Linked DNA regions of Struthio camelus. The protein of the gene in region 3 purifies or fractionates together with the protein of the main gene of each other region. This does not show direct contact. Links are inferred from orthologs where the notes say so. Each region holds a gene or a part of one and is shown on either strand. Other genes may lie near its edges.

The links.
Region 1: the proteins of SMC3 (region 3) and USP13 purify together in Homo sapiens (affinity purification with mass spectrometry; 4 studies listed by BioGRID and IntAct, with this or other methods). This does not show direct contact. The link is inferred for Struthio camelus from reciprocal best matches to the Homo sapiens genes SMC3 and USP13.
Region 2: the proteins of SMC3 (region 3) and PDS5B purify together in Homo sapiens (co-immunoprecipitation; 7 studies listed by BioGRID and IntAct, with this or other methods). This does not show direct contact. The link is inferred for Struthio camelus from reciprocal best matches to the Homo sapiens genes SMC3 and PDS5B.
Region 4: the proteins of SMC3 (region 3) and PDS5A purify together in Homo sapiens (affinity purification with western blotting; 8 studies listed by BioGRID and IntAct, with this or other methods). This does not show direct contact. The link is inferred for Struthio camelus from reciprocal best matches to the Homo sapiens genes SMC3 and PDS5A.

What each region holds. Positions count from the first base shown.
Region 1 is NC_090950.1:24,654,022-24,661,809, forward strand, and holds the start of USP13 (ubiquitin carboxyl-terminal hydrolase 13), read right to left. Parts: upstream 3,014-7,788; 5' UTR 2,894-3,013; coding exon 2,735-2,893; intron 1-2,734. UniProt on the Homo sapiens protein: Deubiquitinase that mediates deubiquitination of target proteins such as BECN1, MITF, SKP2 and USP10 and is involved in various processes such as autophagy, endoplasmic reticulum-associated degradation (ERAD), cell cycle progression or DNA damage response.
Region 2 is NC_090942.1:198,627,529-198,635,193, forward strand, and holds the start of PDS5B (sister chromatid cohesion protein PDS5 homolog B), read right to left. Parts: upstream 3,012-7,665; 5' UTR 2,883-3,011; intron 2,220-2,882; exon of another isoform or gene 2,201-2,219; intron 1-2,200. UniProt on the Homo sapiens protein: Regulator of sister chromatid cohesion in mitosis which may stabilize cohesin complex association with chromatin. May couple sister chromatid cohesion during mitosis to DNA replication.
Region 3 is NC_090948.1:12,332,416-12,340,334, forward strand, and holds the start of SMC3 (structural maintenance of chromosomes protein 3), read right to left. Parts: upstream 3,014-7,919; 5' UTR 2,983-3,013; coding exon 2,752-2,982; intron 1-2,751. UniProt on the Homo sapiens protein: Central component of cohesin, a complex required for chromosome cohesion during the cell cycle. The cohesin complex may form a large proteinaceous ring within which sister chromatids can be trapped.
Region 4 is NC_090945.1:61,488,993-61,496,342, reverse strand, and holds the start of PDS5A (sister chromatid cohesion protein PDS5 homolog A), read right to left. Parts: upstream 3,016-7,350; 5' UTR 2,893-3,015; coding exon 2,876-2,892; intron 1-2,875. UniProt on the Homo sapiens protein: Probable regulator of sister chromatid cohesion in mitosis which may stabilize cohesin complex association with chromatin. May couple sister chromatid cohesion during mitosis to DNA replication.

The DNA.
Region 1 (7,788 bases), on a different chromosome or scaffold from region 3:
TGCTCTGTGACTGGGCATATCACTTAAGAAAAGTGCATACAAAAATTAGTTGACCAAAGTATTAAGTTCCAAAATACTCAGGAAATTTACTTGCCTGAATAGGAAAAGAATCAAAGGTAAAGCTTGAGAGAGAGTTTTACGGTGTTAATGGAATAAACTACTGAAATAAAATCTGGTATTGAAGAAGAGTGACAAAACAAAACATCTTGCCTCGAGCTGACTCGAAACAGAGAAGAGCTGAACAAAGAACATACTCGAAATGGCAAAATGAGGAGATGCGAGGACGTACTGAGAAATAAGCTTACAATGGAAAACACCTTCCTAGTCGACTAAGTTATCTGGAATTTTACTATAGACAATAAACCCCAGAGGACATGCTTTTAACATTTATCATTTACTTTAATATTATAGGGGAGGAAAAAAAAAACTGCGCATCTTTCAAAAAGAGGCAGACACCTCAATAGGAATTCACTCACTTAGGCTATACGTAGTTGACCTCAGAAAATAAGTCACTAAGACAACCTAATACAAAGCACACTGAGATAAATCCCTTTTTTTAACCAAGGGGACAATCTGTCTGTATCCTTCTTTCACCTTCTCTTCTGGGCGGAAGACTGTAAAAATAAAGTTTTGCTGTTTTCAAATTTGTAAATGATGGTGTTTTACCCCCAAAAGCACACATTTGTCTTTTAGAACCAGCTATCCTAGAAACAATATCCAAATATCTGTTAGGTTACATGGGAATAACGAATACATTTTCTGGAGACAAGTCTTTTACCCAACCAAGTCAAGGACCAGTACAGGCTGAAAAGCCGTGGAAAACTAGACAATGGAAATAGAGCATAATATAATTTTTACTGGTATTGCATGAATTCAGTCAGAGCCTTTTGCCTAATGAATACCTTTCAACAAAAAGTCTCTAATGGCCAAGGCCAACGTTTTCAAAACCTGACTCTCTTGCCAAAAAAGTGAATGGGATGAAACAGTTTTGAAAATCGCACTTGGTGATTCCAGCTCCTTTTCCTATGCTTATATGTAGCTTTTGTTAAGCTTATTTGAGCTTTCCTCAAATACTTTATGTTTTGCTCCAATATATTGTTTTGCTTAAAAAAAAAAAAAAAGTTTCGCTGTGTTTATTTGACATCTGTTGCAGGGAGGGGTGTTGATTAATGCTTTTTAATCTGTAACAGAATTTGATATCTCTTCCTACTGGTTAAAGGAAACTTTTTATAGACCATAAGGTCCAAGCCACCTGAAAGTATTATTTCTAGTGTTCACCCAAGCAAAAATTTCAAGAAAGAATTGTGGTATATTGATTCCCCCCCCAACCCTTACTTAGTATATAATGTAATTAGCGCCTCTGCAGTAGAGTCTGATTTGGCAATTTTAATCAGACTGCCTGCCGGTACAGCCAGGGCTGCTAGGTGACACTTGAGATCTGAAGAGTGCGGGTAAAAATAACCTCTGTTCAACAAGACATGATGAACACCAGACAGCTGAGTCACCTTTGAAACCAATTTTGATTTTTTTGCATTAGAGGAAAATATTAAAGAGAGAGGAATAACATGCTCAAAAGTCCATCTCAAACATATCTTTAATTGACTATCCTGTCATGTAAACACTGAGCTTCCTTCAGATTGCTGTCATTAACTTTAACTTTACAGCAATACAGAGCGCTCAGTCACCTTTGAGAAACCTCAGCCTAATGTAGAGAAGCAATCTTTAAAAAAATTTCAGCTCCATTTAAAAAGTGCAATTTCTAAACACGTGTTTCCTACACAGTATCCACTCACTATTTATTAAGGTTTCCAATGTTTTCAGCAAAGTTAAAAAACGAGTAGGGCCCCAAATCTGCAACACAATACATGCATTTGTGGAGCTTGCGGATGCTTTGCAAGACAACTATAACATCATAGAAAGTTACTACGCATCAAACATTCATTTAACAACAAACTAAATAAGCTAGTGAGGAAATACGCGTTCTTTGAAGTCTAGTGACCTAACCAAAACGCCAGGAGGGAAAGTATTTCAGGAAGACTTTCACACTGATTTTCAGGTTGAACTTCTTTGAAGACTTCCTTAAAAGATCATCAACAGGAGGATAAGCAGTGATACGGTAGGCAAGCAAAACCATTGGCTTTTTCCTAGCCAAAAACATGCGAACGAGAACGTCAGCTCCTTCTGCTTTTTACTATCTCAGTACCAACCTGAAAACAAGGGTTACACAGGGAGAGCATGCCCACCCTGGAGAACCAGAAACGATTTCCCAGGCGATAGAAAAGTTCCCTAGAAAACAACAACAGAAACCCCACAGAAGCCAATACTAGCGCTGCATACAAGCTGGCGGCGACGTGCTTGTCAGAGGAGTCCTCAGCTGCGACAGAGCGCGGACACATCCCGCCATGCCGGCGGCTGCCAGCCGGGGCACCCGCAGGCTGAGGGGGCGAGGGGAGCCGGCGGCGCGGCCGGGACCCCCGGGAAGGGAAGGGGCTGCAGCCCGGGGGTGGCGAGGGAAACCTGGCTAAGGAAGAAGCCGCGGGGGGGTAGGGGGAGGGCAGGGAGGCTGAGGCCTGGGGGAAGCTGCCCCGGGGCTGGGGAGCAGCCGGGAGCGGGGGAAGAGGCAGCGGGGCGGCGGCAGAGCTGCCGCAGGGCGCTGGGAGAGGGGTAGGTCGGCAGCCGGCGGGGTGAGGGGGGGGGAAGCGGAGGCAGCCGGCGGCGGCTTCGCTGCACTCACAGGCGAGTCGTAGGAGAAGGCGCACTCCGTCTTGTAGACCCGGTCCCCTGACTTGGGCACCCGGATCGTGGGCATGTAGGGGACCAGCAGCTCGCCCAGGTCCCCGGCGGCCATCTGCGCATCGCCGCCGCCGCCGCCGAAGAGCGCGGCCCGCTGCATGTTCGCTCGCTCGGTCGCTCGCTGCCTCCGGCCGGCCGACGGCGAGCGGGCAATGGAGGCGGAGGGCAGCCGGGCCCGGGGCAGGGCAGGGCGCGGCGGTAGCGGTGGCGGCGGCGGCAGCGGCGGCGGGAGCCGGGCCTGGGGGAGGGGAAGGGGGAGGGAAGATGCTATTTTTAATCCAATGGCAGCAGGAGCGGCACCAGCTGCGGCGGCACCTCGGGGTCCCGGCGAGGGCGGGAAGGAGGGGCAGGGCGGGCGGCCCCCCGCCGCCTCCGCCCCTGCCTCTCAGGCACCTCCGGCCTCCGAGGCCGCCCGCGGGGGCGGCAGGGCCCGCCGCCGCCACCCCGGCTCCGGGGCGGCCCGGCCCCGCCCCGCGCGCCGCCGGCGACCGTTACGGGGCGCCCGGCGCTGAGGGGCCGCCGCGCCCCTCCCCCTCCCCCCCCCCAATTAGCCGTGATACGGCGTAGATTGGGTACAGGTTTTTCTCTGCGCGTACGAGCGGATTTGTCACCACCCCGCTACGGAGGGTGTTGTATTTCAGCGGAACAAGGCAGCGCCCCTGCCTGAACGGTGTATGAGTTATCTCGGCGAAGCGAAACAGCTGGTAAGGTGGAAGCGATGCCCAGGGGAGTTAAACTGCTCTGCGTGAGGCGACGGTGGGAGCCTGCGGCAGTGCCCGCGGCTGAACGCGGATGTCCGGTGCTGAGGCACAGTGTCTTAAGTCTACGGTGACCTTCTCCCACTTCTGCAGGGGTGCTCTTCTCACTGTGACAGAATACCGATAGCAGTAGAGGAAGAGGGAAGTAACTGAAAGTACCCTACTCGAAATCACGAGGTTTTTCAAACGATATCTAACTGCGTACGCCTGACAGGATTAGCAGCAGCAGGATTAAAGAAAAGACTGGTCCATTTAAAATTAAAGCCAGATAATTTAGATGAGTGGCCTTCCGGCTGTAGCTGACATTAAATCCAAGGGCTCATGGACCACCTGCAAGCAGGCAATTGAAAATAAAAGTTTGTAACACTTCACAGCAATCTGTGTACGTGTGACCTTTGCTAGGAGCACTTTTAACCTCAAAAACTAAAGGTTCAAAAGGTGGTTCTGAATTAACAACAGAGCTGAAAAACCACAGGTTCGTATCCAGCAATAAAGAAATGGGCTGCGAGCGTAAGCTAACCAGTATAGCCTCGTCTCAGCAATTTTTCAAGCAAAATCAAGTGGTGGGAAGCCTGTGAAATACCGCAAGCAGAATATGAGCTCAATGGAATGGCTTTAGACTTCCACAAGAATAGAATTTACATCAACGAATCATAACATAAGAAATCCTAAATCAATTAGAGTCTTCCTAATGTTTGGCAGTGTTAGGAAACAGCAAATGAGTGTTTACTTCAAATATTCTATGTACTATTGCTCAATATAATGAAAGTAATTAATTAGGTTTTAGCAGTCTGAAACCACAAGATGACCAGGATTTGCCAAAGAGGTTGGGCTTACTTCCTTTTTTAAAAAAAAAAAGTGGAAATTTCAGTGTGAACAGGTAATGTAGGGTCACAAACTAAGAAAGGCACAGTCTTTCCCTCTGTTACGGGATTTAAAACTAGAGGAATACTATGGCCATTAGAACCTGAGGAAACGTATCCCTCTAGTGGCAAAAGCCTGTCAGAAAAAAAGAGTAACCTATTTATTCCCAACTTTTTTTTTTCCAAAAGTGGTATAGAAAAATCACAGAATCACAGAATGGTTGCAGATGGAAGGGACCTCTGGAGATCATCTAGTCAACCCCCCCCCACTCAGGCAAAGTCACCTAGAGCACTTTGCCCAGGACCCTGTCCCAGACAGCTCTTGAATATCTCCAAGGATGGAGACTCCACCGCCTCTCTGGGCAACCTGTGCCAGTCAGTGCTCAGCCACCCTCACAGTAAAGTTTTTCCTCATGTTCAAATGAAACTTCCTGGGTTTCAGTTTGTGCCCGTTGCCTCTTGTCCTATCGCTGGGCACCACGGAGAAGAGTCTGGCCCCATCCTCTTGCTGTTTTCCCTTCAGATACTTATACACATTGATCAGATCCCCCCTCAGTCTTCTCTTCTCCAGGATGAAGAGTCCCAGCTTCCTTAGCCTTTCCTCATAGGAGAGGTGCTCCAGTCCCTTCATCATCTTAGTAGCCCTGAAAGGCTGCATACTTTTGAAAATGCATGGCAGGCACGTGTACGGATGTCCTCACATGCAGCTTAAAACAACTAATGCTATCCCAGAAGGTACTTGTTCACTGTTGTCATGTATAAAAATCATCAAGCAATTCCATTCTTACAAACGTGAAAGTAGGCAGCCTCCTCTTGAAGTGCTCTTAAGTAATTGTTTCAGATTTAAGTATGTTCTTACTTGATCTTCAGTAAAGGCCTAACTTCTGCTAACATCTGCAAACCGATTGTAACAAAATTGGTTTTGAATACGGTAATACTCTTCAGAGAAATGTAAAGTAGCAAAATGCAAAATAAGTAAAAAAGCTTGTAATACTAACTAAATTTCAAAGCTTTTTGTTTGCATCTGCAGTCCTACCGTTCCTATCTGTTTGCCTTGTTTGGTATTTTCTGTATGTAACTTCTATACCTTCACTAACATGCAGCAATTGACGAAATAGGTGTTAAAACTGTATGAGGATCATTCCTCATTTACACCATCTTTAATTTCTTATTTTATGGAAGAAACTGATAATATTAAAAAAAAAAAAACAACAGAGATAGGACTTCATACACAATATACAGCCCCTTCCAGCTAGGCAGACCAGATCATGCTAGATAATTACCAATATTCAGTATTCTGTTTATGTAACATCCTGGATCTCTATTTGCTTCGTTCCCCTTACGTATTTCTTAATTTGTTCCTGATTAACCACAGTTGGAGAGCACATTTCTACTCAACTTATATATAAACTCTTTTGTTTTGCTTTTTGATTCCAGTTCACCTTGGAAAAGAAGCCTTTAAAATACACTCAAGTGTTACCAGAGAGAGGACTGTCTTTTTCATCTGTGAAGTCTCTTATACCGTCTCTCTATATTACATACTTTGGGAGTATAAAGTTTTGAAATTTTCACCTTGAGAGTGTTATTTAGGACTTTGATTTGTACATGCTAAAAACTGCCAACAAACAGCAGAAGATGGTATCTGTTTACCTGCAGTAATATTATCCATGAAAAACATTAATCAATGTCTACCTATGCAGTTCTCTTTGGCTTGATCCTTGCTCTTCAGACTTCAAGCAACCCTTTCGTAACAACCTTCACGAAGCAGTTTCCTATTTTTCCCTTCTTCATATTACTAAGCCTGTTACAGTAAGAAAACTCTGTTGAACAGCAGTATCAATAATGTCACTACATCGCTAAAAAATTAGATATACAGCAGTTACTAGGAAAATACTTCGTTTCATATTTGCCCGCTTAGAGTCTTCCTAACAATGAAGCAAGTTCTACATGACAGACCATAGACTTTAACCTAAGAACTGCAGGATATTTTCAAGAATACATGAAAGACTTAAACTTACAAAAAGCCTTAAAGTCATAAAGACTTGAGTTTATATATACTACACACTTTTCTTAAATATTTAAGAAGTTTTCATTTGCTTTCTAGTCCTACAGCTGACAATATGGATAGTAATCGCTACAGGTTTAGGCAAGTGTTTCTGTCTTAATTCAGCCTTCTCAAAACACAGGTAGGATCTGAGGTAAAAAAAACCTAAAGCCTCATGAAAATATAAAAAGATAGTCCTCTGGACAACCACTAGGCATGCAATTCTCCAAGTCACCCGATACTCATTTTTAAAATTAAAATTATGTAACATAACGGGTAGGTACCTCTCAGTATGAGTTTTTTGAAGTGTTAATGTATTACAGAGCACTGACTTGGTTTAAACCTGCATCTATGAAGACACTTTCTGCCCCAAAGGGGGTATGTGGCTCCGTTTTAGATCCATTAGAAAAGGAAGCAGGTATTATATGAAATGTACCTCACTGAAAAAAATCAAAGTGTCAACAGAACAGAGCAACGTGGCAAGACGTTTTAGAATACCTCACTTTTTGGATGATCTAGACAAAGGGAGAAGTGTCCAGTTCAGAAAGAAGCAAAGATAAGCCTTTTTTTCTTCCCTTCCCTTTCCTTTTTTTTTTTTTTAAATAGTCTCTAAGAAAAGTCTTTTAGAAACATAGGCTGTACAGAAGGAGGCAGAAGGAGGTGGGACTGGAGAAAATGGGAAAACAGACAAGCATAAATTATGCATGATCTTAAAAATAAGAGGAAAAGTTTAAAAGTGGTGCCAAAATAACTAATGAAGGAAGAAGCTGCTTGGCTGACGCCATCAAAGAATAAGGGTATTAACAGATAGGTAAAGAAAGACACCTTTTGAGATAACACAGGGAAAACAATAGCTGACTGAATAAGATGCAAGTTTGGAACAAAGAGTGAAAGCCTGGTTTGACTCCAGGTAACGAGAAAGATAGCGCTTGTCTACAGTGACAATATTCCAAAGACCTAAAGACTTTCTTCTGATTTGGTTCATTTTCCACAAATTATCTGTCACAAGGCATCATAAAAGAAAAAAGCCTTACAGTTGTTTGTATCTTTCATTTACAACTTTAGGTAAGAGAAATCGCATGATGGATTCTAATATTATCAAGTTGTTTCACACAGATCAGGTCACAAAGCCCATTCTGTGTTGATGCTCCGGAGAAAAAGAGTAACTGTTGGCAACTGACATGAGGCCTTTTCTCTGATTAATAAGTTTAACAACTATACCCTGCACAGCTTCTTTCCAATTACTCGAACCAACAAAAACGATTTTTTTTTTAAATTTAATTCACTGAACAGCAGGATGCATATTGCATAATTCAGTCACAACTTGTTG
Region 2 (7,665 bases), on a different chromosome or scaffold from region 3:
AATCAACATGAATACTTTCCTACCAAGGATGATCACGCTGCCTAACACCCTTAAAAAAAAAAAAAAAAAAAAAGCAATGAGTTTCCTCAGTTTTCCCTTTCCAGCTAGTTCCCAAAGCAGACTGAAAGCCTTCAAGATTTTGTCAGTCTTTCCAAAGCCTATTTCAGGTTACAATAATAAGATTCTGTGTTCAGGGTACAAACACCACTACTTTAGAAACTTACTGAAAGAAGTATGATACACAATCTTACCAGTTGTCAGTACCAGAACTACCTTTTTGTTCTAATAAGGAAACTTATTAAGGAAGTGCTGGGGGGGGGAGAGGGGGAAGGAGGGAGGTGGAGACTATATCAAGAAAGTAGAAGGTAAGCATTTGGGCAAAATAATATTAAAGAAAGGTAGGAAAAGGGACATTAGAATTTGTTATTTTTCCGTATCAGTTTCGCTCCATTTGTATCTTACTTTCCTCCATTCCCTACTTGGCACACTTTTATCATCCATCTTCACGTTTTCTTAGACACTGCTCCCCTGAAATTCTCCTTGTGCAACAAGTAGCCTGTACCATCTCTTCAAAACTTAGCCTTAAAGAAAACATTTAGTCCAAAACCTATAAATGAAGAACCTTTACTACATGACTCCTACATATGACCATACAACCTTTTACTCTTTTGTATGGGCTCAAATTGTGTGAGCAAAGAAAGAATCAGAGAGAATAAAGAAAAAACATAACCTGAGATCCTGATGGAGCAATGTATCCCAACAGAAAAAGCATCTCTTTTGCTCTATGGAAGGGAGCACAGCGTCCTGTTCTACAGCCAAAAATGGATAACGCCTGAGGTCATGCTCATGTTTTAATACTATACTCTTTCCAAATACTATCAACTACCGGTGTTTCTTGTATTTTTAATTACAGCTTAATAAGAATTTAGTCGACTTGCTCAATTTAACTCTATATGTAAGCTTGCTAGACACATTCTTAAAGTAATATTTATATGGCACACAAGATAAAAAGATGTTAGCATACAAATGTTACATACATATGATTTTCCATTTGAATTTGATTTACTTTTTACAATAACTAAACTGTAGTTTAGTTTTTGCCAAAACAGTTATCCAGTCTGTCCAATAAATAGTGAAGAGAACGCAAGAGACACACAGGCAATTACAGTTGTACAATAAGAACTAAAAAAAAAGCCAAAAACCAAAAAACACCCTCACCATAATAAAGTACAGCCTTACTTCAAACACAAACACAAGATGTCACGCAAGTACTAAACTACTTTCTCCTGAAAGCGTGCACTAGTGATGTAAGTGATAGACAATCAGATAAAGATAATTTAAGTGAGGTGTATGTATCACGTTCATCACTCTCAGTTTCTTTTAGAATACTCTGAGCATAAGGTAAATTCAGCTGTTTCATGTCTTTCTGAAGTATTACTTTGTACAAGCACATACAATATTTATAGCGTATCTATATTACACAGAAAATGCGCTGAGTAGAATTTCTATCAGAAATACAGAAAAATAGAAGAATTCCACTGGTTTGGAAGGAAAAAACCTGAAGGCATGCACGTCACCTTACCTCCCTCCTAAAACACAGGCTTTGACACCCATTTTTAACTATACAGGCGCTCACTTTTTAAGCATTTCATCTATGCCATCGTCAGCAAAGAGAAGTCAATTACAGCCAAAGCACCTACCCATCAAACGCAAAACAAAGACCAACATAAAAACATTTCAGCAGTTGTGTTAGGTCGGAAAATAGAATGCCTAACCAAATGATCAGAGTTCTCCGTAAGTAACCGCTCAGGAGTCAAACATGCAAGTCAGAATAAGGCTTGCACAACAAAACCCAGCTCTGTAGGAGCTGGTCTGCTGCAGTTTAATTTTCCAGCATTGCTCACCATCATTAATTGTTGATTTGTTTTGAAAAATAGATAGTGATTTATTTGCAGCGGGATGAAGTTACAGACCTAGATTCCTGACCAGAGGCTCTCAACGTAAACAATACAAAACCTATAAATTAACCACTCTTCATCTGGCAATTTAGATGTAAAATTCATAGTCCTTCGTCTAAAAGGCAGTCCCTACTCCCCCCCGTCTTTCCTTCGCGGGTGCCTTCTAACAGAGCCTGATGCAAAGAATTAAAAAAAAAAAAATCAGCCTGAATGAAACGAGCTCGCAGCAAGTGGGGACTCACCGAACCGAGGTCCTCCCGGTCCCCACCTCTTCCCGGCCGAGGATCACTGCTAAGTGCAGAGCGGGGAGAGAACGAAACGGCGGTGGGGGGGGGGGGGTCTTTGGCCAAGCCCGGGCAGCGGCGCGAGGCGGCGGCGGGAGCCCTGGGTGCAGCCCGAGCGGGGCTAGGCCAGCTGCACGGGGCAGGGAGGGGACACCCGCTGGAGCCGCGATCACCAGCGCTGGAGAACAGCCTCCCTCCCCCCGCCCGCCACTACCCCCCCCGCCAGGAGCCACGGGCGCTGAGCGCGCGACGCCGCCCGCCGGACAGCCGCGAGCGCCCCGGCCACTGGGGGGGGGGGGGTGACCCCCAGACCACAGCGCCGAGCTGGGGGCACAGCACACCCCAGCCAAGGTCACCCCCTCGCGGGGCCTCTCCGCGGGCGCGGAGGGGGGCGGCAAATTTAATTTGCGACGCCAGCCCCGGGAAAGGGGGGAGGGGAGCAGCCCCGCGAAGGGGTGGGGGGGATGGGAGGGGGCTCAAGTCCCGGGCCACGGGGAGAGCTCCCCCCCTCACCCCGCGCTTCTCCTCTTCCTCAAGCGCTGGCCGCGGAGCTCGGTCCGAGCTGGCGCCCCCCGCCCCCGCCGAGGAGCGGTGGACGGGGGGGGGGGGGTAACCGCGGCCGAGCTGCCGTGCTCCTTACCCCACTGCAGCCGCCTCGCCTCGCCTCGCTGGTCCCAGGCGGGTCCGCTCCGCGCTGCCGCTGCTCTGGGCTCGGAGAGGAGCTGCCGCCGTAGCCGCAGCCAATCGCCTCTAACCCCCTCCCCTTCCGCAGCTCGCCCCGGTCCCCCTGTCGGCTTCAAAATGGCGCCAACTCGTCTCCGGCTGCTCCAATGGAACCGCCGAGGGAAGCGAGCGAGGCCAGTGCGGGACAGCAGCGCCCCCTGCCGGCCCGCGCGGCGCCGCGCCGGCGCGGGCACGCGCCGGGACCGCCGGTCACACGGCCCGCGGCGAAACTCCGCGAAACGGCGTCCGGCCGCCGCGCCGAGCCGGCCCGCGGCGCCCCAACGCCACTCAGGGACACCCGCTGCCCTGGCGCCGCGGGCTAGGACCCCAAGCACCGCTTCCAGGCGAGGGGAGAAAGCGAGCCACGGCCGCCACCCCCCTCCATGCATACCCGTGCCCCGGGGCCCAATACAGCCCTCCCTCACTTTCCAGCAAGGGAAGCGGCGACGAACCCTACCTCCCCGGAAGACGTTCAGTAGTTACACGCCACTGTGAATCATGGCTTAAAGCGAGAAAAGAGACTTAGAAAAACTAACACGAGGTTTGCAGGCAAGCAGACGACCTTACTTCAGCAATCCTAGCAGTATAAACTGCCAACAGTTTCAGAAATCAAAGACCGTGCACAGGAGATGCAGCAAATGGCCCAAATCCAGAGAGGACTGTGCAATCAGTTGACAGATGAACTGTGGTAGATTTGCTGTTCTGCTGTGCAAATTAATGAAATAAATACTTCCCCAAGACAATATGAATTATAAAATGCTTGTTATAAAACAATGAGGAATAAAGATGCTCAGCTGTGGAGAAAGCAGAAAAAAAGTTGATGAGCAATTGCTCATCAAACCCTTTGGTTGCACTTCAGTGAGTGCAAGAGTTTCAGGGGGTATTCTGACAGGAAAATAAGAACAGAAAAGTGATGTAATTTAATCTCATTGCTACATAGAAAATGCTACATTTACGAATGAGATGTCTGAAGACAATAGATGTGTCCAAAGTGTTATGATTTAAAAGATGTGAAAGTCCTAGTCAGCAGATCTGCTGAAATACTTTCAAGGCTTTGTCTACAGTGGGATACAATCATCTTTTAAAGTGTGTGTTAGTTATAACATCTTGGCTAATATTTTAAATCTTTAAATAAATTCCTCAAGCTTTCTGCTAACACATTTAAAACAGCTTGCTTCACTTTCATCCAAATTTTAAACTCAGTTAAACATCCTCATCTTCTAACCAAATCTACATCAGTCCTATCAAGATAAAAATGCAAAAACTATTACATAGAAATGACTTTTCAGGCCCAAAACTACCCTTGTTTACATTTCTGAGAGTGAACTATTTGTCCTACTCTTCTGGAAAATGAACATACTACTGCACAGGCACAAAAAAGAAAATATTTTGTCTGGCAATTTTATATTACTGATTATCACTGGGAAGCATCCTGCACTTGCAGTCAAGGATATAATTTTTTCACATAAGTTGAACAATTTCTCTGCAATCCTCCCATTGTGCTGGCTTATCTAGATATCAGCTCTTAAGTTATGGAACACATCTCTTTTTTTAATGGAGCACTTGCACATGCGTACAGTGATATATACAAAACAGTAGACAAGCTGAATATTCATACAGCTATTGAAGTTGCAAAACCATGTGTATAATGTGAAAGTAACTATTGTGTTGCCATACTCTGTTTGCAAATATGTTTATCTTTTGCTCCCTTTTCCTGCTAGAACAGGCTACAGTAGCACTTCACACTTTCACCTCATATCAGGATGCCTAGGAATGATTTGAAAGTGAAATAAGGTGAAGTGCCTTGGTAGCAGGGCAACGGGAGGCCAGCCCCCCATTTACCGTCTGGCCTTCATTTCTTGCCTGGAGTTAGACTCTAAGATTTCAGAGGTCAACTTTCTGAGGTATTCCTCCGTTTCTCCACCCCCTCTTAATTGTGAGATAGTTAAAATACAGCACAAACATCCCCAAGATGCTTACTACAGGGATTAATGGCGTTTGGCTCTCTGCAGCTCAGCGGTAATAGCGTTCCTAACCCTCACGAGGGAGCCCTTCCGACAGCGCTTCTCTTCGTGAGAAGAAATCCGTTGCTAAACTTCAAACTGCCCTCCTGAAGCGTTACCAGAGATCCCCCTCCGGTTCGCGCGGAGGGGCGCAAAGCGTGGCGGTGGCCGCCGTTTGAGGAGTGCCGCGCGCCCCCCATGGCGGCCGCCCGAGTGGCCGTTGCTGGCGGCCGTTGGAGCGCTGAGGGGGCGCCCAACGGCCGACGCCGGCGCGAGGCTGCAGGAGGCAGCAGGGAGCCGCCGCTACCCCGCGCGTCAGCCCCGTCTGTAACCGGAGAGCCGAAATACCACCTTCTCAACAGTCATTTGTTGACTTAGTCATACGCGTTTCACCGGAGTTTCTTCAGAAAATACTTTGGGAAGTTTTAATGCTGCTGTGTGGGGACCTAAATTCTAGGTTAGGGAGGGAACAGCAAGCAGCCAGCGCCTTTCTGATCCAGTCCTAAAAAGAACTACCCTGTGTAATCTATAGAAGCAGGTTCCTGAAGGTGGACTCAGTGCCTCCCCCAAGAAACATCACATCTCACAGGGCACTGGACGACCGTAAGCAGACTCATTTTACTAGTTTTGCCCCCTTCTAGAAATACAGGCAAAAGAAATGATAAATGTATGATGTTACTTATCAATAATGTGTATAATCTTATGGAAGACTCACAATATGTACACACAATTGAATAATGTTTTGCTGAGTATGTCATACAGAGAAAGCCAGATTATGAAGACCAAAACTTTTACACAGAATTTCGTGAAGACAGTGTTCACATCGCCCTACGTTTAAGGGACAATGAACATCCCAAAGAACATCCTAGAAAACAGTACTCTCCTCATAGAAGTGCCTGTATCTCAGCTTTCTATCTGCAAAAACATGGTGCAAAAATAGCAGAGTACAATGAAAGGCAGCTCTTTACCTTAGCCAGAGTAATACACAGAACCTCCTCAAGACGGAAAATGCCCTTCTGAGACACACCAGTAGTCCGTCTAGCCTGGTTTTCAGCTGCACCATGATCTGAAATGTCATTTTCCCCAAGTGAGACTCATACCCTGCAAGTGCAAGGTATGCAATTTCCCCAAATGCAGAAAACTTGAAAGCATAATTTGTCGCACTAGGAGATTGCATTTATGCTTTTATCTGTATAAACAAGAACAATAGCAAAAGGAGATACTACTGAAGGAGACCTGCTTACTTTCTGTGCATTGTACACTCCCAGCATCCACAATTGCTGTAATAGGCATGTTGACATCTCTGGTTTGTACAAGATGTACAAACAGGGGTATCCCTGCCTATTCCATTTAGAATCCATTTTATGGACCTGTTGTCCATTGGTTTGTCTAGTCCCCTTTTGAACCTGCTGATAGTGTATATTTTCATAGCCTCCTTTGGCAGCAGATTCCAGAACAGCAAATAGCCCCCAGTTCTAGTATTCTTCATGCAACAGTTCTGCATTCACCTTATCCAGTGCCTTCCTGATCTGTAAAATTTGACCCTACGCCTCCCATCCTTGCCCTGTCGCAGTCAGAGTCCTAACCCCTTTGATCTCTCCTCCTAAGACAGCCAATCTACCCCCTTGATCATTTTAGTTATCCTTCTCCATACCTTCTTGAAATTTGCTGTGCCCTTGCAGCCCAGAACTGCACACTGTACTCACTTCAGATAAGGGTACATCAAGGCTTCCCATAGTAGCATGCTGCCCTCCCTCTTGGTCTCTGCTCTTTCTGATGACACCTAACTTTTCGTTGGCTTCTTCAGCTGCTGCTGCACTTTGAGCCAAAGATTTCAGAGGGCTTGTTAACAATACCTTCAAGATTTTTTCTGAGTTTAAATATCCAGGATTGGCAGATAATCCTATGTTTTACCTCACATTAATCTACCTCAAAGCCCACCTGCCATTTTTCTATCCATTCAGTTTTGTGAGGCTTTCTGGAGTTCTTGCCACTCGCACCACAGTTGATTACCCAGAAGAGCTTAACATCATCCAAGTATCATTCAATATGCACTCCCTTTTCCAGGTCATTGACAAAGATACTGAATAAAACAACATCTTAAAACAATAGCAGCAAACCCAAACATCTCTGGGAGACCACATTGCTGACTTTTCTCCAACTGTCAAGGTAATATCACCATCAGAAGACTGACTAAACATTTTCACTGAGTCTCCTTCCTTATTATAGTAACCCTGAGCCATTTGCAAGTGCAAATCTCTGTACATCTTTCGCCTTTTAGTCCCTCCATGTATACCAGCGCTTTCATTTGTCTTCTGAATTTAACACCTCAAATCCCCTTCTGAATACCAAGAGTGATAACTTTGCCATTCCATTTTTTCTCCCATCTAGCTTAAAGGATTAGGTCCTTTAAGCTACTCTGACACAGAAGAAGATCTCAACTCCAGTGCAGCAAACCCCATAGTCTCCTTACTGAAATCACTTCCAAAAAGAGTGTTCCATGGAAAAAGCAGAATCCAGGGGACAGGCTGTCTTTATTCTGTTATATATTATTGCTTTTTCTATAAATCTTAGCCATCTCCAGCACTTTATAAAATATATAACACAACAGAAAAAATAAAAATTTATTTCCACTACTTTGGCATGATTTTACCTTTTTTCCCCTCACAGCCTTTGCAATCTATCTCAAATGGGCTG
Region 3 (7,919 bases):
ACCTAACTCACTCTACACCTGAACAATTCAAGAAACAAGTATTTCCAGGATCACATTTACATTCTGCAATGTTCTGGTAATATATGCTAAACAAACAGTGGGAGATAACTTCATCCATAAAACTTATCAGACAAAAGACAGGGAGAGCAACAAGATGCCTATTTATTCATCAGAAGTTTGATCTCAGTCACTTAGTCATCACTCCATTTGACAGCTCATAATCAGGGAATGATCACAGAAAATGCCTCTTCCTAACTGCTTGCTTTAGTAAATTAAAACTGTTTCACTGATAAGAGTGAAAATGGCGTGCCGGACAACAAATCCAACACTCTGAGTTTATTAAACTTTAAATGAAATATAACTTAAAGGTATTGACTAACCGTTACTCAGAAGTCAAAGAGCCCTTCTCTCTCCTTCCAGATGCTGCACTTCCCTCGTTAAGCCCCCTTTGCAAAATGTTTCCACTACTAGAATATGAAGCTAAGGAGATGAACAGGCAGAAAAACATTGATCCGTAACCATCATAAATCAGATCTAAGTAACAGCAGCTATATTTTTTATTTTGGAATAGAAATAGTCTCTGCCACATCCTGCAGTACTTAGCCTGCCTAAATCTTTTTGTAACTGCAGATGCTTTGTGACCCTTTTTTCTGTGGGCAAAACACCATTTTCTTGGTCATCACCATCAATTACAATCACTGAAGTACCTGCACTGTATTCACATCTAAACCCAAAGCAACTGTGTTTGGAAATAATTTAGAATTTCAGAATTTAACGGGGCAAGCAATAAGCAAGTTTAAGACAATGCACTAACTGAACACTATCACTCGTTATGGCTGTGAGTACAAACACTTCCCCCAGGAGCCAGCCTGCCTCACCCTCCAAAAGGAGCTTGTCACAGTAACAGCCAGCTCTGCCTCAGCATCAGCGGCTTTCAAAAAGCAACAACAGCTGCAGAATTCGTACTCTGGTCCTGCAAACAGCTCTAGGCCACAGCAACTGCATGCTGGTTTATTAAAAATAAATAAATAATTATACTGCCCAAACAGTGCTGTTTTCCCATTCACCAGTTTTCAAAAGAAAATTAAAAGAGCAGTAAAAATTCAGTTGCTAGTATTTTTCCCGTTTACCTCTAATACCTTAAAATTGTCTGGATTGGAGTAATCTATCTACTTTATTCCCAAAGCAATCTGAAAGTCTCTACAAAAAGCTGAACTCCCCCCAACCATTATTTCATAGATGTTACTATGCAGGCACAAACTTGGGCCATCTACATACCCATGCAACACTTAAAAGCTATGGTACAAGCAGACTGAGAACACCATTCTTTTCCGCAAAAGGATTTTTTCTAGAGGGCTTCTCACATCACCCATCCTACATGTTCTGAACGTTCATAACTTCTGCACTGCCTTGCATAGCCTCAAATTAAGACTTAAATCATTTTAATTTTCAAAGTTCAGGAATGATTTTGGTTCCAGCAGTTATTTCTTCCTAATGCCACCTTCATCCTCTTTCTTCTTAAGATTCATACGTTGTTACGCTCTCTTCTATTGCCCCTAGAACAGTACAGCTCATGGTTCAGCTAAATTTACTTTTCCAAATGAAACTCGTTCCCCCTGTTTTCCCTAATTTGGGCCGCTTAACATGATTCCATATACATCTTTCACTACTATTTATCTTTATGCAACTCAAGTTTGTAGAACAAAAAATCTTATTCAACCATTTTAAAGCGTGCACTTACAATGATACAGAGGGACTTACTAGAACACTATCAAAAAAGCACCTGCAACACTTCCTCGACACCCAAACAGCTTATGAAAACCTGTTTTTACATAGAAAACACCTTCAAATGTAAAGGTTCTTACTAAAGATACCTGCAGAGTGGCCGAACACCAGATTAATTTTGAGTCCACTAAGAAACAGGAATCCTAGCAGTTTTATTTGAACATACATAAGCAGTGCTAGGAAAGCAACCATTAAAAATTAAGGACCCTGCACAGACTTTCTCTTTAACTGAACGTTAACTGTAGTTTGCTTGCCAAGGGTGAGGTGTGCAGCCAAAACGGTCCACGTCCGGTGGTCCAAGGCAGCACCCCAATACGAGCAGTAACTCTCTCGGGAGAAGGGGCCATCAGAAACGCTTTGAATTGAAACCTTAAATGCAGGCACACTTCCTCACACGAAAACACACACAAATTAAAAAGCAAGCAAGCAAACAAACAGAATCCTTAACAGCTGAAAGACGCTTCCTGACAGCTAAGGATAGCCATTTACGAGACCCGCGTAGGGACGATCCTCCCGGGTCCAGGGTCAGCCGCCGTGCTGGGCACCGCCGCCGGGAGGGCCGCGAACACCAGGGCCGCCCCGTCCGGAGGGTCCCCGCGGAGCCCGCAGGGGGACCCTGGCTCCGACAGCGCCTCCCCTCCCCGACCCCAGCGCGCGCGAACAATGAATGAAACCGCCCGCAGGCACCGGGGCGGCAGAGGCAGCCGCCAGCCCAGCAGGGAGACGGGCCGCACACCCCTCCCGGGGAGGGGAACGGCGGCCTCCCCCCACCCGGGCAAGCGGATCGCCAAGTAAAGGCCTTCGGGCCCGCCACCCAGTAGCACGTCTCCGGCTGCGGGCCGGGGCCTGGCCCTGCCGCCCGGCCGCAGGCGGGACGGGCCGCGGCGGCGGGACGGGCCGCGCCGCGACAGGCCCGGGCCCAGCCGGCGCCGCGCAGGGCGGGCGGCTCGGCCGCCGGCGCCTTACCTGCTTGATGTACATGTCTCCGGCGGATGGGAGAGGCTGCCGCCCCGGTGCCTCTTGCCGCCGCTCAGCCTGCCCCCCACGGTCTCCTCCCGGCACGAGCGCTCGTCGTGGCCCCGAGTGGTCGCGGTGGTCGTCGCCGTCGCCTCCAGGCCCGTCAGCTTCCCCCGACTCGGCGGCGCAGCGCGGCGCTCGCCCCTCACACAAACAAAATGGCGGCGGAGCCTCCCCCATCCCGTCCCGGCGCGAACCATTCAGCGCGGTCGGGAGGGGGTGGAGCGGGGCGGAGGAAGCGCCCCTGCTCCGCCAGAGGAGGGACATCACACGGAAAAGCACGAGCATTTCCTTTGCTGAAGCATCTAAAGTACCTCTTTGGCCTTCCCAAGGCGTGACGACGGAGAGAAGTGCGACGGGGCGACGGCTCCTCCCGGCGCCGCAGGGAGGCCCCCCCGGAGAGTTGGGAAAAATGGTTTCTCCCCCTGGGGGGCGGGTTAGGCGCCAAAGGCAAGTGTGAGCCGAGCAGGGGGGAAGCAGCGGGACCGGGTGTGGGGAGGCGGTGGCGGCCGCCCCACGCGTGACCGCGACCCGCGCCGGCCATCGCCCGCCCTGCCACCGCCGCCGGCTCCGCCTGACGCCAGTGGCCCAAGCGGCTGGCAGGTCCGAGGCTCCGAGTGAGTTTCGGGCCCCTTCGCCGCTGTTTAGCTTTATTTGTAAAGCTCTGGCGAAGGCACAGGTGTACGTCTTTGCTCCGGAGGAGTTAAGGAACAGGAATGACGTCAATAACGTCAGAAAAAAAATAGAGCAAGAAAGACCCGCTTGAGTCTGTGTCTACCCGTGTATCTCCCAGAGATATCTCCAATATTCAGCTCCGCGAAGGGCTGTCCGACGCACAAAATAAACGAAGCGAAGGGAGAGAAGCGTTAACTTTCTTTTAATCCCTTTCAGTAAGGGTCATTCCAGACGTTAACTGTGAGAGGAGCAGGGGCACCGCATGTCAGAGAAAACAGGATTTTCGGTTTGACGACGCTCGAAGTCGGCGTTTCGGCCCGCGCCGGCGGACGCGAAGCGGGGTCGAACGGAACCTTCTGGTTCCTTCCTGACCCCGGAGGGGCGGGTGGACGGGTCGCTGCCCTTGCTTAAGGTGAAACCCCCCAGCCGGCCCTGGCCCTTTCTTAACTGCCCTTTAACGAAATGGCTTTAGTAAAGGGCCATCAGGAGGCTGATGTAATAGATTTCACCTACACCTTCAAAGAAGCGGTCCGTTGCTTCTTCAGAAAATACAGGGCTTAAAAAGCTGAAGTATTTAGTGAGTTGTTCTACTGAGCAACTCCGGAAAGAAAATTTCCTGCTCGGCTTTGTTCTGTACTACTTAAAATGCTCAAACTCGAGGAAAATATTTTCCCCGTTTGCATTTTCAGAGTTGCTACCGTAGGATTTCAAGGAGTCTCACAGCATCCTCCTGGGTTTGGTACGCGTGATAGATTTTAATCTTCGCTTTTTCAGGGAAGAAGTGAATTACGGATGCCACCATTTCAGGTCTGACTAGGGATAAAAACAAGAACATAGAGAAGAATGAGGGAATTTTCTTCACAACACACTTAACCAGTCCTACATGTGGTTAAAATTAATTATTTAAACCAATTTTGTGTTACTATTTTGCAGATAAATAAACAGAATGGAGCTACACATTCCTGATTAACTTGTAACTTTTAAAAATCACACAGTGAAGTACTCAGAAGTCAGGAAACGAGATGCTTGATGCCTTTGAGACTGTTAGTATCACACCACTCGGTGAAGTCGTGTGATACTAACCATTGACCTCAGCTGAGATACTTCAGTGAAGGTGGAGGAGAGGCATTCAAAACTAGTTTCTGAAGGCAGTAATAGCCACAGAAACATTTTAAAATTGACAAATTTTAAAAATGCATTCCTCTTCATCGTCTGATTTTAGAGCTATAAGGTGCCTTGAGTCACGTTTTCCAGCTTTCCTCTGTAGCTGCAAGGTCTAGAAACTTGTTTTCACTTAACCATAGAATCCCAGAGCTAAGATTTAATCTTCCTCCCCTAAAGAGGCAACTGAGGAACATAAGAGAGGTCATCAGCCAAGGAAGATTTTGCTTTTCTCTTGACTGCTGCACTGACATTATTGTACCTGGATGCGCTAAGTCCTCCTGAAAACCCTGGCTCCAGTCAAAGCTCTAAGAGCCAAGACCCCATAACCTACTAGCCCAGCTACATTTGGTGCCTCAGGCAGCTGGCTGTTATTGAGGCATAGCAACGAGTATATCAAACTCTATGTTATGAACAGACACAAATATAGACCTGAGGTCTTTTTTATTCACATGTATTCGTTCCTGGTTGTGGATGGCTAGTATACAACATACTTTTGCAGTTCAGAAATGAATTCTGTGTGTACACAGCTGTGCAGACACCAGGTTATATTTATTCATAGGAATAAGATCATATCACGTTGATGTTTCATCACAAAGCACCCGCCAGTGTCATGTACTTAAAAAAATACCAGTCATGTTCATTAAGAAATATTGTGGCAACCAACAGTCTTGTTCAAAGAGTGGGCAGGTGTTGCAGATGTATTTACATCTCCCCGCACACAGGTTTTGTCACATACCTTTTATTAGTATTAACTGAGGTTTTTATGTGAGGGAGGGGATTAGTGGAGTGCAGGGGTTGTTTTGTAGACCACCCTGGAAATATACACCCGATCCAAGGGCAACGTGTGTCGTCTTTATTCTGCCAAGCTGCCACTGCTACAGGCAGCTAGTAAAACAGTATACTTTATTCAGCACCTGCAAACATATAATAGTCAGAGCTTGCTACACGTGGCATTTGCATTAATGCATCTCTTCAGTAGCTGCTGCAGAGCTTACATACTTTTTTCTATGGCCCTGTTTTATAAGCAGTGTTTTTCTGTAAATATACTGTAATTAAACATTAGCATTAGAAAGGAGAAAGTGGGAACACTGCTTTAATTCATCCTGGCTTCATCAGCATAAAACATACATCAGTTATCTCTTTAATCAAACTTAATGGGAACATATAGATGGAATTTCAAATTTCTAGCTTCTCAAATAGTTAATTTTCTTTTCAAAAAAAGCTTTTTAAATCTTTTAAAAAACATTTAAAGTGTATTATTATCTTTTCTATTACCGCATTCAGTTGTGAACCAACACACGTATAGCCTGCTTTTCTTCATCACTGGTTGTAATTACTGAGGGTATTGAAAGCCACATTTTTAGATGATTGTGGAAATCGCTAGGCTCACTGACAACATCAATCACTTCTGCTTCATCATTCCGAGTCATTGCAGCAGGGAAGGCAGACAACAGAGCACCCTTGGGGCCACTTCTTGTTAATGCTGGTATTACAGCAGGAGCTAAAGAGCGATCCTGAGGTTAGGGGCTCCTTGTATTAGACACTGCAGCAACCCATATTTAAACAAAGCCTCTGCCTCTGAGCTGGCAGTCTGAACGCACAGCTATCTATAGGGTGATTATTCTATTTTTCACTTGAGAAACAAAGACAGTGAAACAACATCTTGTCTGAGGTTAAGCAGCATAGCTGTGGGACAGCCAAGAATACCTCTAGTTCTCCTAAATTCTCCATGGAAAGCACTAATCCTGAGCCACATCTTTCTCTCACCTTTGAATTCAGTGGAAGTTACAGCAAATGAAGGGAGAAAAACCAGCCCATCTTCTTTCTCCATGGTCCCGGGCTTCGGACAAGGCGCTCAACACTGCAGGCTTTGCAGGAGCAGGGGTACTTATTCTGAAAAGCATACAAGCCAAGGAGCTTTCCTTTCCAAGGAAACTTTTCTCCAGAGCAAAGTTACTGGTGTTTCTTGCTCTCTGAAGCTCTGTAGTCACCCCAGTCATCTTACAGCGCAAGAGTCTGACCACCACACACCTGAGGCTTGTACTTTCATCAGTGAGCAGCTGCCTGTTAAAAAGTAAGTGGAAGCCTGAAACCTGCAAGACCCTTATGTTATGTTATGTTTGATAAGGTGGTGGGTGTAATTGCAGGTCCAGGCTGTAGCTGTGCTGCAGTAGGTGGTGGCATCCGAGCTGTAGAGACAGGACACCTGTTTCCCACCACCCACTGTGGTGCCAAGATCACCGGGGCCACATGTGCAGGCCTGCACCTGGCACGCTGTCCACGTGGGAGACCTACAGGGAAAGCGCAAGAGCACCGCAATCGGTGTCGAGGGTGCTCGTGCCTGCGGCTTGGTGGTGCTGAGCTGCTGGCCACGCTCCTTTGGGAGGAGGAGAGGCGAGGTCGTAGCTGCTCCTTTGCCCATCGGCTTGGGGAGGCAGCTGCTTGCCTGTGGTCCATGCTGTGAGCAGCTCTTCTTCATCAGGCAGCTGCTCTGCGTTTATAAGCTCCCAGGGGGAGACAGCCAACAAAACAGTCAAGTTATGGAGCCCTGCCAAACACCCCAGTTATTTCAGGGTGGTCGGTACTCTCTTCTTTTCAGACTGCTTATGTTCCCTTTAAACAACTTGCAACAGTCGGGCAGTTCCTTTTCGAAAAAGTATATTTTCCTAGTGCTCTACAATCCTTTTCATGTGTAAAAGTAAATAATTATCATTGACTATCATAGTATTCATGCATAAAGAAACATTTTAATGAAGCTACCACGCTTGGCAAGAAGAGAGTGATAGGGTAAAACAACAGCAGCAAATAAGTAATAGAAAAAGGTTGCTTTTGCAAAGATGTATTTTATTACCGCTGAATATGTTGCAGGTTTATTAAGGGAAAGTAGTTGTTCTGCTCATCATCTTTCAGCAGAGCCTCTTTATAAATAAAATGTGGTTGTGGTTGAATTAATTTAATTTGGTTCACTAATTTTATAAAACAAACCATTACACAAATATGAAATTAATTAAATATCAGAGGTAATTCAGAACACATGCAATGGATTTCTACCAGCAGATGGCGCAGGATGAAACCGCCAAACGAAGCTAGGTTCATATTTATGCAATAGGAAGAGGCCTTATTTTAGCTGCAAAAGAATAGAAAACGTCAATATTTTTATTCACTCTTACGAAACAAGAGCCTTCTTACATTGGGAAATTTTGTGAAAGCAATATTTGCTCTGCATTTTAACCCTATTTTGTTTTAAATACCAGGCAAGGAAAGGGCTCGATCGTCAG
Region 4 (7,350 bases), on a different chromosome or scaffold from region 3:
TGAAACTCTCAATAAGGATGAAGATTATGCCTCAAGTTCCTTGAAAGATAACTTGTTTTAGATTACTGAAGGCAGGCATGAATTTGTCAGGCGTGACAAATTTGTCAGGTAGCATTATTTATATTTTAACGTACCCTATTTCTCAGATGTTTTCCTATACTATATATTATTGCAAATTCAATATGCTATTGCAAGTAGAAATAAAACTGTCTTTAAACCTGACAAAGATAAATATGTCTATCTTAATATACCATAATGTTACTCAAACTTTAAGCTGCAAATTGTTTTTGCATAGAAAGAAAGCAGGTGCAAATTTGCTGAGTGGTCTTAGTAGGCTGTATATAATCAAAAACAGTAAAAGTGATTGTCATTTTCTTGTTTTTATGGCTCATCTTTGGTAATAATATTTTAATGTGAACTATAAGATAAGCAAGAACACAGTAAAATGTTTTTATTTGAAGAGGCAGCATTGCAGAAACTGAAATGGAAAAATCTGTCATGAAAGTATTCACCGAAGACCAGACTAAACACTTGTGCCAAACAGCACAGATTACATGCTGTATGTTCAAGCCATTCCAAGTAAAACAAGCCAACTGTAGACATAAGGAGAGACAAAGGAATGAAAAAAAATTAACAGATAATAGGTGATTACTGTGTTGTTTGAAAATAGTTGTGTGAAAATAAAAAAAAGGAATACAGATAATTATAATCACTCACTGTACCAGAGGTTCTTTCAACTATCTAGATGCCAATATCCCTCCTATTTAAAGTGTTAACTGAAGTAGTGAGAAATCTGCCAGTACCCAAATTAGTCTGGCATTTTCATGGTGTCAAATACTGTAATGTGTACAACTGGCAAAGAACAACATACTTTCATGCATGAAGTGCCAGCAGCAACACCCCACTAGCAATGCAGTTCAATGGAGGCTATCAGATTCAAGCATGCTAAAAACCTTTCTCTTCCTCTTTTTTGGCAACTTAAAAATATAAAGACAAAGTCATTAGACTGGAATTTACATGACCTATCTTTCCAAACGTATGATTAACACGTTACCAGCATCACGCCCTTAAAGAGAAAAGATTTTGTTTCTGATACTTGTCCAGATACTGAAAAAATTAAGCAAACGCTTCCTTGTACATGCATGAAAACACCACTTGGCACCAAACACACAAATTCTGATCAATATTTGTTCTCCTCCATATTTTTGGACATTTATAATATTAGTATATTGAAGAATTTCTTATTTTACTTCACTGAGTCATAGCAGAGTCTTTTTTTTTCTTTTTTAAACCTACCAGCACATTCTGTGGACTGAATGCTTTTAAGTATTGTATTAGAAATGTAAATGTTTGGTCTTATTTATTTAAATGTAGCATACCATATAACTACAAGATAACCACTGAAATACCAGAGTGACTGGCAAATTAACAATGCCTAAATCAATTTCATTCCTAAATCATACTAAATGCTTTTAATACCATTTTCAGAATGTTAACATTATTTGTATTGCAAGAACACATGCAATCCTGGAGACAAAAATGATTTGCTTTTCACTTACTCTGCTATCAGATGGAAGGCAGTTGGGGATTGTGATCAAGTTACTTTGAGCACCCTTCTGCAGTTTCACAAGTGAGCCACCCCATAATTAGTTCGTCTTAAAACTATCAATTATTTTTGTACTTTCTGGTTCTTTATTCACATTAAAGTTGCAGCTCTAATGCAAACAGGTCAGCCCTGACAGTGAAGTGAAACAATAGCGAGACTGCAAAAGGAAGCAGCTGCGGGAGCAGGAGTCACTGCGACACAAAACTGGCAGTGACTTTTCCTGATCTTTCTTGTGATGAAGGATGTAAGCTTAGGTGCTAAATAAGTAGCGCTTCAGTGTAAGCTGTCTGTTAAAGGCCACTTCTTGTTTCCCTCTTCGAAGGAAAATGAAAGAGAAATTAGGCTGGGAGAAAACCACCTTGTTCTCTGAATTGGATGAATTACAATGCAAGTGAAGATCGTGATGGGAGACAATATTACTCCCTTTGGGGAAGAAATGATTCTCTTCTTTCACAAGAGAAGAAGCTTCTGTTCACTAGGAAAATCGCAGTGTGACATCTCCAGCTAACTTCCTCCTGCGGTATTGTGCCACGATGGGAGATGGTTGAATACAGATGGAAGGGGAGGTCTCTCGAGACAATGGAGGCACAAAGGAGGGATGTGAGAAAAAATCATCATCCTCCTGGAGCCAAGTGAAAAGCAGGAAGATAAGCAGTTGAGACCCTGCCCTATTATCTGGCTGGCCCAGGCAGCGAGACAGAGCTTTCAAGGAGGCCTATGGCTATACATGTAAGTGCGGTTCTTGGAAATCAGCTAATGGGTAAGGTTGATCAGGATTCTTCCGGTTTTTTATATATGATACTATACATATATATATTACTCATACACGTAAATAAAATCTGTTTATTATACCCTCTTTTGCATGACTGTCCATCTGTCAAGTGCTCATTGCTTGTTGCAGAAGTAAACGTCTCTCTAACGAAACCCTCCGCTAACGCGGTACTCCTTCTCTCGCCCGGCGCTGCCGCTCCCTCCTCCACCCCGCGGCAGGCGCCAGACCCCTCCGCTCTCCTCCTGCTCCTTCACGAACACCGCCGATCCCGTGACGGCCGCGGAAACGCTAGTTTCTGCCCCAGAATCAGCCTCGTTCTAGACCGCGCTCAGAACTCTTCTGCTGCCACGTTATAAACTGCTAGTAACACAGGGCAGCGGCACTAGACACGGAACACCCTTCCTTTTCATTACTGATCCAAAGCCCACCAGTCGCTACGCGGCTGATAGCCGTAACTACCCTGCTGTCCTCGACCTGCAGTTCTCCGCTGCACCCACCTGCATCCTGTCGTCATGCCCTTTCTAAGCAAAGTCTATCTCTCAACACAGATTCTGCCACAGCAGTGCAGCATACAGTTCCTTTTTTCAAAGATTAAGACGCGAAGCCAGCGGCCAGTTTTATCGCTAACGACGTGAAAAGGGCGGTTAAGCGCAACCATCCAGAGACAAGGACGGCAATTAGCCAGCCCGCAGACTAAACACGGCCTGCCTTTCATGGCGCAGGACTTCACTCCCCTGCCTCCCGCCCCTTCCTAAATCGCTTGTTTTCCTTCCCAAACGACTTCCTTTAGAGTGAGGCCGCCGCCTGCACCACCGCCCGGGCCGAGCCGGGCTGGCAGCGGCCCCGAGGCGGGGGCCGGGGCCAGGGCCGGGGCGGGCGGCCGGCGGCCGGCCTGGGCGGCGCGGCGCGGCGGGCGGAGGGAGGGAGGGGAGGGGGCCGGGAGCGGGCGCGGAGCCTCCTCCCGGGCTGTTCTTCCCCGGCCGGACGGAGAGCGGCACTGTGTCCCCGCGGCGCACGCTCCGCCGCTCCCCCTCTCGCCGGCCGCCGCCGCGCCGCTCCCCGGTCCCTGCTCCTCCCCGAGCGGCAGCCGCCGCCGCCGCCAGAAGCGAGGGAGCCGAGGGCCAGGGACACGGCGAGACACGGTAAAGGCCGGCCGCGTCCGGCGAGAAGCGGCAGGAGCCGGGCACGAGCCTCGTCCTCCCCCTCCTCCCCATAGGGCGCGGGGCTGGCGGAGGACGAGGCGGCCCGGCGGCGGCGCCAGCGAGGCCTAGCCCGCGGCCCGGCGGCGGCCCGCCATGTCGGCGGCGGGCGCGGGGAGGCGGCCCGCGCCCCTCGGCGGCTGCCGAGCGAGCGCGGGCGGCGCCGGCAGGCCGGTCCCCGGCGTCACGGGAGGGGAGGGAGCGGGGCGGGTGCTCCCGCGAGCCGAGGGGCTCGGCCCTGCGGGCGGCCCGTCGCCAGCCACCTGCCTCGGCGGGGAGGGGGCCCGGCCCGGCTCGCGGGAGCCGCCCCCTGCGCCGCCGCCCCCGGCCCGCAGCGGGGGAGGGAGGCAGGCCGGGGAGCGCGGGCCGTGAATGGCGGGGCTGGGGCTGGGCCCTGCGCTGCGCGGGGGCCTCGGGCCGGCCTTGCCGCTGGGCTGCCCGCCTCGCGCGGGCCCGGTGAAGGGCTGTGGGTCTGCCCCGGCCCTCGCTGCGTGCGTGTGTGCGTGCGTGCGGGGGGCGAACTGGTCACGCCGCCCCCGCCGCTGCCTCGCTGCGGCTCTGCCCGGCCTGTAACTGCGTAGGCGGCGGCCGCGGCGACCGGTTTTCTCTCGGAAACGCCCGAGTCGTTCTCCCTCCCTCCTCCTCCTCCTCCTCCTCCTCCTCCTCCCCAGCGGCCTCCGAGGGGGCTGGTTGCCGCCCGGCGGCACCAGCAGCCCCGGAGCCCCCTGTGGAAAGAGCCGCCGCTCTGAAACCGGGGGAAACGCCGCGCCGCTCGCCCTGAGCAGCCGTGTCGAGGACGGTGTCCCTACTCTGCTTCTCAGAGAGCAGAACCCAGTGAGTTAAGTGGGCCGTTTACGAAGTTTCCTTCAAAACGAAATCAAAAGATTTTTACTGCTTTAAGGCTTTTATTTTGAACGGTCTAAAACTGCTGAAAGAAGCACGTTTCCAAAGTTGCAGCGTAGTGTTCACGTATGCTTTGGGAGATGTTCTGCACGTATTCTGCAGTTCTGCTAATCGAGTGCCCTAAGGTCGTAGGGGCTTCAGAGGGGAGGGAAGAAAACATACTGAAGAGCAGTACGCCCTTAACTCTTGTCCCGAACTAATAACGATTTGAACGCTGACTCCGGGAACGTTTTACTCTCTTGACAAAGTTTAGTATGTGTCTCAAGTCTTATGAGGCTTTTGGTGGGACCTTGTGGTTAAAATACGACAATAATTCATACGGAACTTAAGCACAAATCCTACGCAAGTTGTTTGGAAGAGGTTTCAGGTGAAGCAAAAGAACAAAGATGATGATGAAGTTGCTCCTCAGCCGTTTCACCTTTACTGAGTGGCAAATCCTAGCTTCAGGATTGGCTACTGAAGTAAAAGCTTTATACAATAGGACTTGGGATATGATTGGAGAGTATAAGCTTAAGACACAAACCTGAAGCAAATTACAGAGTAGCAGAGACATCCAGAGTATTTGAAATCACGACAGTTCTAGCCCCGCTTTACCTGGGGTGTAGTCACCATTACTAGGGTAGGGCTAGCTTGTGTCACGTGTTTGTAGTGCTTTTAAGTTGCAGTAGTTTGTCTTGCTGTAGGTTATACCCGTGTGTAGAGCCTACAAAGGAAATCTAACAGCATCCAAGCACATCTTAAGAATGCTTTCCTTTATAGGCTTTCTTCATTTGTGTTCTTTTTTTTTAGTGTGGTATTTTCCTGTGCTTTTCATGCCTTTGTTTACACTCGATTTCTTTAAGAAGTCTCCCTCTGTTGTATTAACGCTAGTACGTTTCATCTAAGGAGAGCACTAATGTGGGAGAGAAGCCAGATTCTTAGTGTTGCAAATGCAAAAGTGCAATAGAGGTGACAAAAATGTTAGCCTGGGCATGGTTTTAGGGAACATCTATGGCATATTCACAACTGTTTCACTGTGTGGTGTAGGTGGATCATTAGCTGTGACCTTGTCCAATTTAAAAAAGAGAATTATGTTGTCTTGGGTTACTGTATGAAGATGTTGTAATAGGCATGTAGGATGGTTGTAGTTCTGAGGTGTGTCATGGCCTGTTGTCTTTGACTCCTCCCTGTGTGCTGATCTGTAGTCTACACTAAATGACTGAAATAATCAGTCATGTTTCTGTTTTGAATAGACTTTTTCTATGTGTAGTTAGCTCCAGTAAAAGTTGTAGATTATTAATCCTGAGTTTTAGGAAGTTGCTGCCTTTGTCTAAACTACAGAGGCTTTGCTACTATAAAAATGTCAGTAGGGCCATTAAGTGTTATGTTACACTACCTCTCAGAATTAAATAAGGCCATGTTTTCTCCTGAATCCAGCTGTGCTTGTGGAAGAGGTTAAGCTCTCCAGCTGTTTCTTCTCATGACTCCACTGGGGATTTTGATCTATCAGCAGGATGGTTTATGTAAATGATCCACATTCCATTCAAAAATGTTATTAGTTAAAACCAGCATTTACAGCTATTTAAGCTGAGCTGGCTGACCTTTTTCTTTTCTCTCTCTCCTCTGCTCTCTCTCCTCTGCTCTCTCTCCTCTGCTCTCTCTCCTCTGCTCTCTCTCCTCTGCTCTCTCTCCTCTGCTCTCTCGTCTTTTCTTTTAAATCATGTGAGGTGAACTTGTGTATTGCTTTCTGGAGGTAAATTAATAGGGTTAAGTCTTGTTGAAATAGATATTGACAGTAATTTGGAGGCAATGCCATTTTTCATTGATGTACCTGGATCTGGATGAGGTCATCTATCTGTGGTTTACATTAAGTTTTTTTTTTTTTTAGTGTAATAGCTGTGTATGTGCTATGTTCAGTTGGCCTAGTGGCCTCAGAAAAGGGAGTGAATTTAAACACATGAAGTAGATAATATTCTACTGATAGATTCGCATGATGTGGTTTCCAGCCTAGGACCTGATCTAGTGGATTCCCCCAGATATTTAGCATTATTTTAGGATGTATCTGCATGAACAAACTATCATTCCTGTTTTGCATTTTTTTAAGTTGCATTGATATGATGCAACTTGAATCAGTGTAAGTTGGTAAGTGTATTAGGTTTCATTGTGGCATATTTTGGTGTGATAAAATATTTTGGAGTGGCGTTGTGTGTGGACCGCCAGCAAAATTTACAAACTGTTTTATGCCCTTTTCCAACCTGGATCCCTGGCTTTCTGATGTGTTCTCTACTGTTCTGAGGTCACCGGTAACTCGATATCACCTTGGTGAAAAACCTGGCTCATGTTCCAGCACACATTGTGCTCTGATGCTCCAGCAGTCATTTTCTTCTCATCTGTGACCTCTTATTGCAAATGCTTTCTGCAAACCTGAATATATCTTTTTTCTGTTTCTGTATTTGGGCCTGTGCTGAAGTCCAAACATTTCTTGTGCTTCAGCTTCATCCCAATGTGCAACAAACCTTCATTTGGAGTTACCAGAACTGGGAATTGTGAGAGATTCGTCACCAGAGATATGGCAGCTGGGGATCACCAGGGTGCAGCCCTATTTGCACAGCAGACTTTTGAAGGACTTGAAACAGACCTTCAGGTAGGAACAGAATATACTGCAGAAAGTTGGCTGGACAGTGCCAGCTTTGGATCGTTCTGTGTAGCAGATGCAGGAGGAGACTGTAGAGTGGAGAAGGCTTCATATGTGGAAGTGCCTGAACCAGGACCTGGTCATATAGCAGAAGCCTTGCCAGGTGTCTGCATAGGTCTGGAGATTCATGCTCTGGAGTCTGAGTCATTGAGAGCCAGTTCCCTTCAGGCCCAGCCACGTTTAGAGTTTCAGCAGT